Arabidopsis thaliana: one gene and its partners. The protein of the gene in region 3 interacts with the protein of the main gene of each other region in a pairwise test. Each region holds a gene or a part of one and is shown on either strand. Other genes may lie near its edges.

What was found. Proteins that work in one complex are often made in the same cells at the same time.
Region 1: the proteins of DHAR1 (region 3) and TET2 interact in a protein complementation assay, tested with the Arabidopsis thaliana proteins (one large-scale study listed by BioGRID).
Region 2: the proteins of DHAR1 (region 3) and AT5G41800 interact in a protein complementation assay, tested with the Arabidopsis thaliana proteins (one large-scale study listed by BioGRID).

What each region holds. Positions count from the first base shown.
Region 1 is NC_003071.7:8,471,576-8,477,115, reverse strand, and holds TET2 (tetraspanin2), read left to right. Parts: upstream 1-1,962; 5' UTR 1,963-2,094; coding exon 2,095-2,288; intron 2,289-2,373; coding exon 2,374-2,680; exon of another isoform or gene 2,681-3,511; intron 3,512-4,411; coding exon 4,412-4,723; 3' UTR 4,724-4,982; downstream 4,983-5,540. Other genes in the region: ACO1 (ACC oxidase 1), read left to right, coding at 1-191, 292-877. UniProt on the Arabidopsis thaliana protein: May be involved in the regulation of cell differentiation.
Region 2 is NC_003076.8:16,731,941-16,736,651, reverse strand, and holds AT5G41800 (Transmembrane amino acid transporter family protein), read right to left. Parts: upstream 2,990-4,711; 5' UTR 2,811-2,989; coding exon 2,726-2,810; intron 2,655-2,725; coding exon 2,424-2,654; intron 2,152-2,423; coding exon 2,054-2,151; intron 1,964-2,053; coding exon 1,777-1,963; intron 1,692-1,776; coding exon 1,561-1,691; intron 1,480-1,560; coding exon 1,243-1,479; intron 1,154-1,242; coding exon 764-1,153; 3' UTR 559-763; downstream 1-558. Other genes in the region: CIP1 (COP1-interactive protein 1), read right to left, coding at 4,261-4,711.
Region 3 is NC_003070.9:6,772,798-6,776,446, reverse strand, and holds DHAR1 (dehydroascorbate reductase), read left to right. Parts: upstream 1-1,923; 5' UTR 1,924-2,033; coding exon 2,034-2,091; intron 2,092-2,215; coding exon 2,216-2,306; intron 2,307-2,492; coding exon 2,493-2,985; 3' UTR 2,986-3,145; downstream 3,146-3,649. Other genes in the region: GAMMA CA1 (gamma carbonic anhydrase 1), read right to left, coding at 53-204, 307-432, 998-1,141, 1,396-1,510; AT1G19565 (uncharacterized protein), read left to right, coding at 3,316-3,368, 3,477-3,568. UniProt on the Arabidopsis thaliana protein: Displays a dual function. As a soluble protein, exhibits glutathione-dependent thiol transferase and dehydroascorbate (DHA) reductase activities. Key component of the ascorbate recycling system.

The sequences.
Region 1 (5,540 bases), on a different chromosome or scaffold from region 3:
ATGGAGAAAGTGAAGAAGATGATTAACTCTCACTATGAGGAGCATTTGAAAGAGAAGTTTTACCAGTCAGAGATGGTCAAGGCTTTGAGTGAAGGCAAAACCTCAGATGCAGATTGGGAAAGCAGTTTCTTCATCTCACATAAACCAACTTCAAATATCTGTCAGATCCCAAACATTTCAGAGGAACTCAGGTAAAGTAATTAAGAATTGAATAGTACCAAAGGCTCTACCATTTTTACCTGTTTGCTTATTTAACTAAACAATGTGAGAGGGTGAAATTGATATTTGCAGCAAGACGATGGATGAATATGTTTGTCAACTGCACAAGTTTGCAGAGAGACTCTCCAAGCTCATGTGTGAGAATCTTGGTCTTGATCAGGAAGACATAATGAATGCCTTTTCTGGTCCAAAAGGTCCAGCTTTTGGAACAAAAGTGGCTAAATACCCAGAATGCCCACGTCCTGAGCTTATGAGAGGGCTGAGAGAACATACGGATGCTGGGGGAATCATATTACTCCTGCAGGATGATCAAGTGCCTGGTCTTGAGTTCTTTAAAGATGGGAAGTGGGTTCCTATACCGCCATCCAAGAACAATACCATTTTTGTCAATACCGGTGATCAACTAGAGATACTGAGTAATGGGAGGTACAAGAGTGTTGTTCACCGTGTAATGACAGTGAAGCATGGAAGTAGACTGTCGATTGCTACGTTTTACAATCCGGCTGGTGATGCCATAATATCTCCAGCTCCAAAGCTCTTGTATCCAAGTGGCTACCGTTTTCAAGACTACCTAAAGCTTTATTCAACTACCAAGTTTGGAGACAAAGGCCCCAGACTTGAGACCATGAAGAAAATGGGAAATGCGGATTCAGCCTAGGATGCATCTGGAATTTGACGCTTCTGTACTCACATCATAAAAACTTTGTCTTCTTCTTGTGTTTCCTTATAATTTAAATAACCAGCCATGTCAGAATCTTGCTGATTCAGCTATACTACTTCACTCTTCTTTCTTCACTTCCACTTGAAAAGTTCCAAAGCCAAACTGAAGCAGTCTCATCAAGCTCTGTGTCGAACTTGAGATTAGACAAAGAGCTTGTAATCTAAGCTCTAAGATTGACAGTCAATTTCATGATTTATAAGATGTAATTCAACTCTTAACGTAATCCACAACTCCGCCATCATCTCTTTCCATATTCTCTCTGATTTGACTCATTTCCTTCCCAATTCCTAGAATCAAACAAATAGCATTTCTATATCAGCATCTAAAACTGAAAGCTAAGTGTGTATTGACTCAAAATTCTTCTCCAATCGCAATAAAATCGAGATGAGAAAAATTCATCCATATGTTTTGGTTCACACATTCTATCGAGCAGCTTGTGTGCAATCCCAATCCTCTGAACCAAAACAAAAGCTTATCTCTTGACCATTACCCGACATTTCACTCATCAGCCAACGACAAATCCTGCTCCGAAACCTCTAATGCTTGGAAAAGAAGAAAATTCCGATTTCCGAACAATGGAACTTACTCCATTTTGCATTCTCTGTCGAAAGTAACATACGTTCAATGCAAATGACCCAAAGTCGTCGGTGCCACGTGGATAGTTCTCACTGGTTGATGCATTCGGTAACTCGCAGAATGGAAGAATATTAACACAAAAGGCATCTCGCGTATCCACGTGTCCCGTTCAAGATTCCAAATTCTAAACCAAAAGCCGGTCCGACCAGATTAACAAGTTCTCTTTATTACATCACAACCCAAAACTTGTTCAAAACCTAACTTTTCATTGCTAAACATATTTTATTCTGACATTCACATGTTAACTTTAATCCAATATCTAATTCTTTTTTCTTAAAACCACCGTTGTCGAAAAATCCAAATCAGCAAAATCAGTGATTAACCGGACCGGACCAAACCGAACATCGTTTTCTGTAAATAGCAGTAACTGGTTTCACACATCCCATCATCTCTAACCACCGACCTCATAAGTCATTAAGACAAAAACAGAGACACTCCTCTCACTCTCATTATTTCATTTTCTTTCCATAAAAAGCACGAATCTTCAAGAACAAAGAGAGAGAGAGAGAGAAAATTTAATGGCGTTAGCGAATAACTTAACGGCGATACTCAACTTACTAGCGTTACTCTGTTCCATACCAATAACGGCGTCAGGTATATGGCTAGCTTCAAAGCCAGACAACGAGTGTGTCAATCTCCTCCGTTGGCCCGTTGTCGTCCTCGGCGTTCTCATCCTCGTCGTCTCCGCCACAGGCTTCATCGGCGCCTACAAGTAAGAATCAAAGAACTTCAAGACTTTGAAAACATAGACACAAATTGAATCATAAAGATGTAAACTTTGAGCTCTCATATTTCAGGTACAAGGAAACTCTACTGGCGGTTTACTTGTGCTGTATGGCGATATTGATCGGACTTTTGCTGGTGGTTCTTATATTTGCATTCGTCGTGACCCGGCCCGATGGATCGTATCGGGTTCCGGGTAGAGGTTATAAAGAGTATAGGCTTGAAGGGTTCTCGAATTGGCTTAAGGAGAACGTTGTGGATTCCAAGAACTGGGGAAGGCTAAGGGCTTGTTTGGCTGATACTAATGTTTGTCCTAAACTCAACCAAGAATTCATCACCGCCGATCAGTTCTTCTCCTCCTCTAAGATCACTCCTCTCCAGGCATGTTCTTTCTTCTTTTATTCTCTTTTATAAAAAGAACCCCGAAATTTCTAGTTTCCGGTTTAGGTTTGGTTTAGAGGTAAATCTAGACTAAATATCGGTTATGCAACTATGCCAACGAATCATTGTGGGTTTAATTAGATATTATTAGATGATTAATGGAGATAAGATACGAAGTAAAGAGAATGTTTTGTAAAATCTCTAGATTATGTGAGACCTACGGTTTGTTCTTGCCATAGAAAGATAGGTTATTTTTTCTTTCAAAAAGTAAAGTATGTGGTTTTAAATCAAAAAGTTAAAAAATTTCTCTTTAGCTTTTGTGAAGATGTCCAAAAGAGAATTGTTCTTATTCTCTATATTCTTTTTTTTTGTTTTGCAGCTTTAAGTTATTTCGTTTTGGATTTCCTCATCTTTGAAAAAACTAAAAAAATATTTTCTGACTTAATTAATCTTATGTTTTCTAGTGTTGGAGAGAAACCTACATTAGCTTTCTTAACGTTTCGCAGTTAGTGCCATTTTGTGGTAAAACTCATAGATTAGGCATATGTAATCACCATTATTGAACACATATTTATTCCTAGTAGACTGGTGTAGAAGTTGCTGGAGACCAAGTCCACAAGATTATATAGTAAGATAGTCAGATTTCAAAATTATACACTATCATAAGGACCCACCCATGCACCCACAATATGGTACATGATAAACTATGTTTTATCTGTGTATTAATTATATTTTTCCTTTGTCACTATCTCACTCATAAAATTCAATGATCCCATTCACTTTAGATAGTGTTTTTCGTGATCACAACTCAAACTTGACAAAATTTCCTACTTTTTCTATTTAATTTTATTAATTAAAATCACTCTTAAAATTCATTGTCATGTCTTTTATGTCTTTTAAGCTTTAAACATGGAGAGATTAAGGGTGATTTAAATAATTTTATTCCTAAAACTTCTATAGCAAGTTGTCATCCTAGTCCATTGTCACTGTAACAAGATTGGAACCACTAATAATTAAATAAGCCTAGATGCTGAGGTCTCGACTGAATTTTAAATCTTTTAGTCATTAGACATTATTAAATATTGGACCAATGATTTGATTCAATAATTACGATCACAAGTCTTTGTCTCCATCATGAAACATAATAGATAATTATATCCCTCCCATGTTGCCCCACTCACATTATAATTTTTCTTATTGGATAAATTAGGACTCAAGAAAAAATAAGTTTATTTCTAAGAAAGAGTTATACAATTTCTCGTCCTCGAGACAGAACCAAAATTTACTCATAAGTAAAAGAAGATTATTCTGTGATAAGATTCAACATGTTTTTTCATTTTTTTTATGTACTTTCATACCAAGCAAGCAATTTTTTAGGTTTCTTGTAGTCGTTTTATTTTTATAGCTTTCAGACTAAAACTAGTGTTTCATTGTTTTAGGTCTTGACTCTTGAACTCTTGATTGTTTGTGTTTGCCTTTAGTATATACTTTTTTTTTCTCCACATGAACCCATAATATTAACCATGTTAAGCAAAATGAAATTTTTGTTGTAAACACAAAGGGCAGACGCAAATGGTAGCGTTTGTGTTTACAATGTGTAAATATTTTTTACCAATAAAAAAAAAGTGTAAATATCTTTAAGACTATGATTATCATATTTGAAAACATGGTTAAGCATATATTTGGTCAAATCTAATTATGACAATTTCTTGAACATTTGTTGTTTTACAGTCCGGCTGCTGCAAACCACCAACCGCATGTGGCTACAACTTTGTGAACCCAACACTGTGGCTAAATCCAACCAATATGGCTGCAGACGCAGACTGTTACTTATGGAGCAATGACCAAAGCCAGCTTTGTTACAATTGCAACTCATGCAAAGCTGGTTTATTGGGAAACCTTAGAAAAGAATGGCGTAAAGCAAATCTCATACTTATCATCACAGTCGTTGTTCTCATATGGGTTTATGTTATTGCTTGTAGCGCGTTTAGGAATGCTCAGACTGAGGATCTCTTCCGCAAATACAAACAAGGTTGGGTCTAAAATGTGTTTGTGTCTATAAATTTGTTTGTAGTTTGTTGAGATTGGAGTTTTCGGAAATAGCTCGTCATATTATGATTTCTTTGTGTGTGGAAAAGGTTTTTTTCTTTTTATGGATTTTGTTTCTATGTTTATCAGTTTATGTTCGACAAAATGGCACTTATCTATGTAAACAAACAACTGACCCTAATTGGAAAACTGATTGTTGTCATAGAGTTTTCTCAGTTTCTTCTATTAAGAAAAACTTAACCGTTGGTTAAAACGTAATTATCAACAAAGACTTCTCTTTTGGTCTGTGACGTTGATTCCAACGATAAGAACAAAACCTAATCTTTGTTTTCTTTTGTCAACAATAGTACTATCACCTTTGTTCTTAACTATTTTTTTGGGAACTTAAAATTGACAACACCGGAATTAAAATGTTTAATACTATCAAAATTATATGAAACTAAGCTGTCTTTTAGCTATAGTTTAATTCATTTCTGACCTCTAAAATAATATTATCCGGAGATTATTGTAGTTTCGTAACGTGGTTGATGAAACTACTAGGTGTTTTCTTAATTAGACCACGATTTTAACATTACGTTACACTAATACTCTATTGCATTTTTGGTAGTTTTCATAACAATGATTCCATGCGGCTTAGTCAAACCGAAATCATATTATTTGTAAATTCAATTCTGATATAATTTTTCTATTTTGTACCAAACGTAAACCGAAACATAACCGAAACCGAACCAAAACTTCATTTGCGTAATGTAGTTTCCTACGTTGTTGTATCTATAAATAGTTTGTTTGTCCAGCATCCATTTCATAATTC
Region 2 (4,711 bases), on a different chromosome or scaffold from region 3:
TAGATTCTTAAGGTAATTTTTAATAATTAAAAAAAAAAAGAAGAAGAAGACAAAATGCAAATGAGATTGGAGTATCCGCTCCGAAATCCATGACCATAGTATGTGATAGTCTGGGCATTCGAATTTTGGATCGGATCAGATTAGATTAGGTCTGATAGAATCCGATTAGAATCCAAACAATTTTATGATTCTAATTTTTTTAGACTTAAATCGGTTTTTATTGATATTTTAGAATCCCAAGTGTATTCGAAACCAAAATATGTATGGTTTTAATTCTTATTTGGATTTGAATTATCCGATGAAATCCAAAATATCCGAATTATCCGATCAGAATTATCAAAATTATTTGAAATTTACTATATCAAATATGAAATTCTGAATTACACGATCCGAATTGAGCATAAAATTAATAATATGTAATGTATTATTTCGGATTGGTGGATATCCAATCGGTCCGAAACCGAACCAATCAGCTACGAATACTGAAAATTAACACACTCTGAGAGAGTTTACTGAACCCAGTAATCTGTTTAGTGTTTATACCCAAAGGAACTTTGTATTTAAATAGAAAATCATTTAACAAAAAAAACATATTCATCTCAAGAACAATTGACGTAAGTGTGATAATCCTTGTCTGGTTTTGCATTTTGTAACTAGTTTGGTTTTGCATTTTGTGTGATAATGAATCAACTCGAGAAATTCATGTACAAGTGTAACCACAAAACAAGTATTGTTTATGTTTTTATCACACTATCAAAACCATCTAATCAACAACTTCACTGCTAAACAACTTGAACTTATTAGCATCAAGAACAAGTTTCCTAATGGAGGAGAAAGCTCCCATGAGTCCTGCACAAGTGAACACAACCATTATCGTCATGTTTATCCAATACGTGAAGCTCCGTCTGGTTGGCTTATAGGTCATGTTGTATAGAAGCATTGGCAGCACGAAATCGAGTGGGATAAACCCAAACGCTCCTACCACCGCGTTTATATCCCCAAAGAACGGTAGCATCGCTGCCATGAACCCGCAAAACGCCATATATAGTGTTCTTAGTATCAAACGCGGCACAAGGTTGCGTTTTGAGAATATCCCTTTTGTTGTATCCGCTGATTTCTTCTCCATTATTTCATACGCAACTTGAGAATACACCTAACCAGTTACCAAAAAAAAGAAACATTTAGTCACTCGTCTCACAGCCAAGTAACATCGAATAACGATCACACTAGTTATAAACTTACAAGGCCAATGGCGAAAAGCTGAAGAAGGACAAAGATGACAGCTAAGCCAATCACCACGATAGGAGCCAGAGTCGGTCCTTCATCAGGCATTAAGTTCTTGAGGATATTAGAGCTCGAATTGTTACCAAAAACCCAATATCCCGAAATTGCAGCAGAGTAAAACGTGAAGAAGATCACACTATAACACAACAATAGTCCTTTCAACATCTTCCCTGTGGCTGGTGGAGCAAGAGTTGCCTGCATACATATAATCATCTCATAAATCTCAAACACATAACATACAATGTTTGTATTGAATAAATTGCAAACATTTCTCACCTGTATTTCGGGTAAGATTCCATTTCCGAAAATAGCAGCTATGATCGAAATTGATGTGAAGGCACTAAAAACTTTCCCTGAATCCGAATGCTCTAGAGAATACTCACGTTTAGGAGCGTTTTTCGACAAACCTGTAGAACCAAAACTGGGCAATGAATCTAAATTTTCGAACATTAGTAAGTTGTTGTTTCTTCGCTAACGTAAGAATCATTATACCTAGGTTGATACAAGCCCCAACGACGAGGAAAGTATATCCTAAGCTGAGAAGCAGAGACGCACAGTTAATGTGTCTAAGAGAGTGAAAACTTGGAAGCTGTGAGAGAACCATCATCACAACAGTCACCATAGCAATGAACTCGTAAAGCTTCAACGTTCCTTGCGGGAAAAGACTCGAATACATTATCTGTGTAGTAACACAAAAACAGAGGATGATCCGTACGGTTCTTATAGTACCTTGTTTAACAAGTAATCAAAATTTAGGTTTCTTTCTTACATCAAGACATTGACCTGCAAGTAGAATGGCGCCAATACCAATTCCAGTGTTGATAGCTGTTTGAATAAAGATCACTACATAAAACATCAATCCAGATCCTGCACCACATCACAATAACCGGCTCAAAATTCGAAATCGGCCCTTAAACCCAAAACTCAATAACCGGAAAGACCAGACTTTATGACGTAAACCGATCTATAAACCGAAATACACAGGCCTAACCTAGACCGGTACGGTAAACTAAGACACGTGTGATGATGGCGAATCTAACAAGAAGTCAAAGTATCCAAATCGAAACACGATCCAACCTTTACGGATTTATCCAAAAAAAGCAAATTAATAAATACAAAGAAGAGATTTTGAATGATACCAAGAACATCGGCGGCGAGTTCCCGGAAACGGATGTGACGGCGGCCGGATTTTTCACAGTGATCAAGAACCTTAGACATGAGGTAATAAGCGTAGAAAGTAACGAGTCCCATCGTCGTTAAACAAACAAACCCTAACCACCATCCTAATCCTCTAAACGCATATGGTAATGTCAATATCGTCGGACCAACAATCGCCGTCGTTAGATGAAATCCGGCGTGCCACCACTCGCCTGAGAATTAATTCTCAAATCAGTTAAAATTCCAAAATTGGAGATTGATATCATAAATATATGGGTTTAACCTTTTGATTGGAGGACGAAGAGAGCACCGGCGTCGGAATCGAGTCGGGTAACAGGAAACGGGTCGGGTCTGGGAGGATCCGTCATCGATGAATTTTAGTGTGAAAGAGAAGAAGATTCTACAAGTGAATGATTTATATATGGAATGATGATGATGGAGAGCACGGTGGAGAGGTGGGCGCATGATAGCTGGTGATAGTTAATGTTTGCTATAATGTTAAATTCCGTTGCTTCTTTAAAGAAACAACCTGTCATAGTGAGAAAAGGAGACATATTTTGCATTTTCCTCTTTATTCGGGATGTGATAAAATTTTGCTTTTTTCAGATTCCTATCATTAAATTAAAAAATTAGTTTTATGATTCCTATTTTCATACATTTCCACTTGTACTTTACTTGTGCTTCTTTGCATGTTTCAGATTTTTTTTTGTAAAAATAAAAATATTAAATTGACAAAACAAGGTTTTGAAATTACTTTTTGATATTTTATTTAGAAATTTTCAGTAATGTATTGTTTGTAAATAAGGAAACAAATTTTAAGAGTTTTTTTTTTGTTGGAATAATCCAATATGATTTATATGAATATCTATCACATAATTTTAGATTTAATGTATCTTGGTGAATTAATCAGATAATAAAGTAATTGGGAATTATAACGTGTTAGACTCTTTTCAAATTTTAAGGTCAAAGTATAATCACTGTCTGATTTTAGAGGAGAAAGTAGTGTGTTTCCATAAACTCATAAAAGTGAATAGAGTTTCTATTTAAAATTTAATAATTTAAGATATTGCCAAATTGTACTTAATTTTCAATTAACTTCGATTTAGGAAATATCAACTAGTTATGGAATTTTTTCTCAAATATTTGATTGATCTAACATCACCAAACCTTACTGGCTGACTTATTTTGTGTATCATTCACATGGCTGACTTTTTCGGTTGTGAAAAACACTTGAAAAAAAAGTGGTTGCTATTAAAGAATAAACATTTCAAACATTTCAAACTAGTTCACATTAGAAATTCAAGGCGAGATATAACGACTGCTAATGCAAAAAAAAAAAACCCAATAAAATAAGAAATGAATGAGAGAACGAAACTCTGTAAAGCGATGTGTATAATTTTGTTATGAAAGAGCAAAGATGATACTATAACAAATTCCAAACAAGCAAAAGCACTATACCAACAGTAGCATTTAATCGTTCTATACAATCCGACGCCCAAAGAAAAAAAAATATCAACTCCATTTGTGTGAGCCCCTTTATTCCCTGACCTCCCATAAAAACCACCACCAACTTTGCCCACAATAAACCAAAAATTTTGACTTACAAAATACAACAAAAGTTAACAAACATATAAAAGTGCAACAAAATCGAACACAAGTACACCAAAAGTCCCCAACCAAAAATACCTCTCCACCAGCTTCTTGATTGACCAGAGTCCAAAACCTAATAAACACATATATGTTGTTTCATTGTTTGCATTCATGTGAGGTGGAAACTAGGCTTGGGAAAGATAAACAACGTACCATGGCACTGAGTCCTTAAGTTCGCTGCGACACTCTTCTTTGGCCTCGAGCCACAACGGTCTTAGACAAAACCTCCTCAAGATATTCACAACGACTTCTATGGTGATCGATCCAAACACATAATTGCCTTATCGCTTCTCTTTTCTCTTCTCCAAGTCCCATCAAAGTCTCTTTCATCATCTCCTTCTCTTTTTCATCTTCTCTTACTTTTCCTCCAAGCTTTTTTATTTCTTCATCTTTCTTCTCTATCTCTTTATTCATCTTCTCCTTCTCGTGATTTCTCTCTATCACCCAATTCGTCGCAGTCCACAGTATTTTTGATGCCTCCATTACAGTTTTCTCGTATCTCCCCTGTTTCTCCGTGAGTTTTTCTGACATGGATTGAAACCCATCTACTGTTATGTTCACTTTATCTGCTATCTCTTTGATCATACCTCGATAAGTCTCATGTGTCATGGTGAGATTC
Region 3 (3,649 bases):
TGGTTACTTGTGGGTTTTCAGGTAATCAGAAATGTTAAACCCAAAATCATACCTCTCCAGAAGGAATTCTGGTGTTTTGTCGTACAAGTGCACCAGCAGCAACCATCCCATGCTTTTCAACAACGACCCCATCAAGAAGTGTCGCACCCATCCCAATAAAGGTCTCATCCTCAACAGTACATCCATGTAAAACAGCACTATGACCTGTTACACATTTAATTTAAGACTATATCCCAAATGCTTCTTGGAGATGTATGCATATTAAACATTTTCAAAATAAACAGTGAGTAAGAGATTCCCACTAACCAATGGTTACATTGTCTCCAATTATGGTTGGGTGCACCTTCCCGCTTAAGTTTGATTTTGCCACATGCACAAGTGAGTTGTCCTGAATATTAGTTCCTGACCCAACACTTACGGTGTTCACATCGCCTGCGCAGAAAAAAAGAGAGAAAGCAAGTTTAGATTGTATGTTATCCCAGTTTCCTGGTAAAGTACTAACAGGCTTAGCCATACAGTACCAATGTGTTATGACATGAAAGCATTCTGTAAAAAGGACAACCCTATTTCATCACCATTAAATAAAAATCCAGACTAGCCAACTCATACTCGCAATAAGGATTCAACTCAAACTCAATAATCTGTATATGATATCGTTCAACTAATTCTGGTGTTATGACATGAAAGCATTCTGTATATGATTGGGGATATCATATACCCAATCACCCATTAGAGCAACTGCCAGTATCATCAAGATACGATATGTAGTAATGATCTGTTTAAGATCCTTCAATAAAGCTAGAAAGCTCCATTTTGAGTAGTAGTCTTGTTCATCGCTTAACCAGAAGAGTAAAAAACAGATATTCGTTCACTATTTTCTATCGTAAGAGTTGACACAGCTAAGGATACAGAAGTAGATACTATTTCAAACAAAACTTCAGTCACTAAAATAGTCAACCACCAAACACCAAACATTGAGGCTTAGTAGCTAGCTCACCTCGTAATACGCATCCATACCAAATGGACGATCCTCTTCCAATGTGAACGTCCCCAATAACTGAGGCGCTTGGTGCCACAAAAGCTTCCTTGTCCACAATCGGAGCCTTATCAAATACATTCATCAGTGTCCGATGCCTTGACACTACACAGAGAAAACCACAATTACATATAAGCAAATTTCGTGACCAGGAAACAAAAAAAAAACTAAGCAGCAAAACACATTCCACATCAATTAATCCCTTGTGCCATTCGAATCCAGAATCGCTATACCTACAAAGACATCAATTCCAGATCTCTAACCTAACCAGAATAGGTGAGCTGAATTACCCAATCGAAACTCCTCACTCTTTACGAATTCGAAATCGGAGTGAAAAATAGAGTTACGCAGAATCTTACGTTGTTCTCGGAAGTAATTTTTGCCTTGAAGGCGACAACCGAGGCGATCAAGAGCTTGACCAGTCTCACGGATCCAAAAACCGACCGAGTAAAATGCTCTGCCTAGGGTTCCCATTGATCGTCACTTTCTTCGAGCTCACAGGTAAACGAGGACTCAACACTGAATGAAGAAGACGAAAATGGTCGAAGCTGAAGAAGAGACGGAAGAAAAAAAATCAGCGAAAATGGATTTCAACAGGAACATTCCGGGACGGCGAAACAATAAATTACAGTTACAGTGGTTTAATATGGTTTAATCGAACCAAAACAATACGAAATATGAACCAAATCTAATTCGATATTTCAGGTAGTAGTTTCATTAAACCGATTATATTATTCGGTACGAATTTATTACTATATTTTCACTAAATTGAACGGTCCAAAACCTGCCGACCAAAAATCAAATGGCCCTATCAGTAACAATGTCGTTTCGTATCGTCGTCACTTGCAACGCATAACACGTGAGAAAAGATAAACATCGGGTAAAAATGGCCCACTGGTGGGTGGAGAATGGTAATAATTCAGTTTAAAAGCTAAGCCTTCTCACTGATTAACTCAATCATTCATCCGTCTCTGCAAACAAAGGAAGAAGAATCAAGATGGCTCTGGAAATCTGTGTGAAAGCTGCTGTTGGTGCTCCTGATCATCTCGGCGACTGTAACCATCTTCTCTTTCTCTCTCTGTTTTTGTTTTGCATTAAGCTTTTGATTTTGCAATTCTTAATTTCTGAGCTTTGATCGTTGGTAAATTTACTAATTTAAGTGTTTGTTTGTCGTTTTAGGTCCGTTCAGCCAACGGGCTCTTCTCACACTCGAGGAGAAGAGTCTTACCTACAAAATCCATCTGATTAACCTCTCTGACAAACCCCAGTGGTCAGTTTCTCTCACGCCTAAACCCTTAAGATCGGTCTAGTTTGAACTTGTTTAGCCATAATCTCTGAAATTTTACTTGTAACTGGTACGAGCTTTGTGTTAACCGGAAATTGGATTGGCTTCATGTGCGAGCATTGTGTTAACCGGAACTTGAAATTGGTGGCTTTGGTTTTATATATGATGCAGGTTCTTGGACATTAGTCCTCAAGGGAAAGTACCAGTGCTTAAGATCGACGACAAGTGGGTGACTGATTCCGACGTCATCGTTGGTATACTCGAGGAGAAGTATCCTGATCCACCACTCAAGACTCCTGCTGAATTTGCCTCTGTTGGATCCAACATTTTTGGTACTTTTGGGACATTCTTGAAGAGCAAAGACTCCAATGACGGATCTGAACATGCCTTGCTTGTTGAGCTAGAAGCTTTGGAAAACCATCTTAAGAGTCACGATGGCCCTTTTATCGCCGGAGAAAGAGTTTCCGCAGTGGATCTAAGCTTAGCACCAAAGCTTTACCACCTTCAAGTTGCTCTTGGCCATTTCAAAAGCTGGTCTGTCCCTGAGAGCTTTCCCCATGTCCATAACTACATGAAGACTCTGTTCTCGCTCGACTCTTTTGAGAAAACTAAGACCGAGGAAAAGTATGTGATCTCTGGATGGGCTCCCAAGGTTAACCCTTGAAACTATGCACCGTTATGAGATCGTTGGTGTGGTAATGTTGTTCAAGGTCTCTCTCTTATATCAGTCAAATAATGTACTTGGACCTTTTTATGTAATGTACTGTATCAATCAAATAAGAAGCCTATTTTGAAATAAGATTTGCCTCCATATCGAAACTCGGATAAACACTGGCTACACGTAACATAAGGGACAAGGGTTTTTTCAGACAAATTATTTAAGAAACTCATCGACAGTACTTGTGTACTTGACCTCAGGATAAAGCTCAGAAGTCTTAACTCCAAAAGAAGGATCTATAGTCAAGGAGGTAAAGTCGCTCTTCGCAAGGACCGTATGGATCAAACCCACAAAAAAATCCATTGGAGGCTGGGTCTCTGCAAATGCAAGTGACTCGTTTAATACTTTGGAGTTTGGACTGATGAATATTGGATATCAGAAACTGTTTTTATGGTTTAACTGATCACCTTTGATGGTTTTGAGGAGTTCTTCCTCAGAAACATAAGTCTTGTCGAGACTCGAGAGTCTTACCGATCTTTACATCCCACAAATCAACCATATCGTTCTGCGATACAATGTTCTTGGGCGGGTGAATGTAGGGTTGGGTGAGATTTTCCAAGAATGTTCCTGGGAGAAGGCAGTTATAGTCGCACCGTCAGCAGTCGTAAGG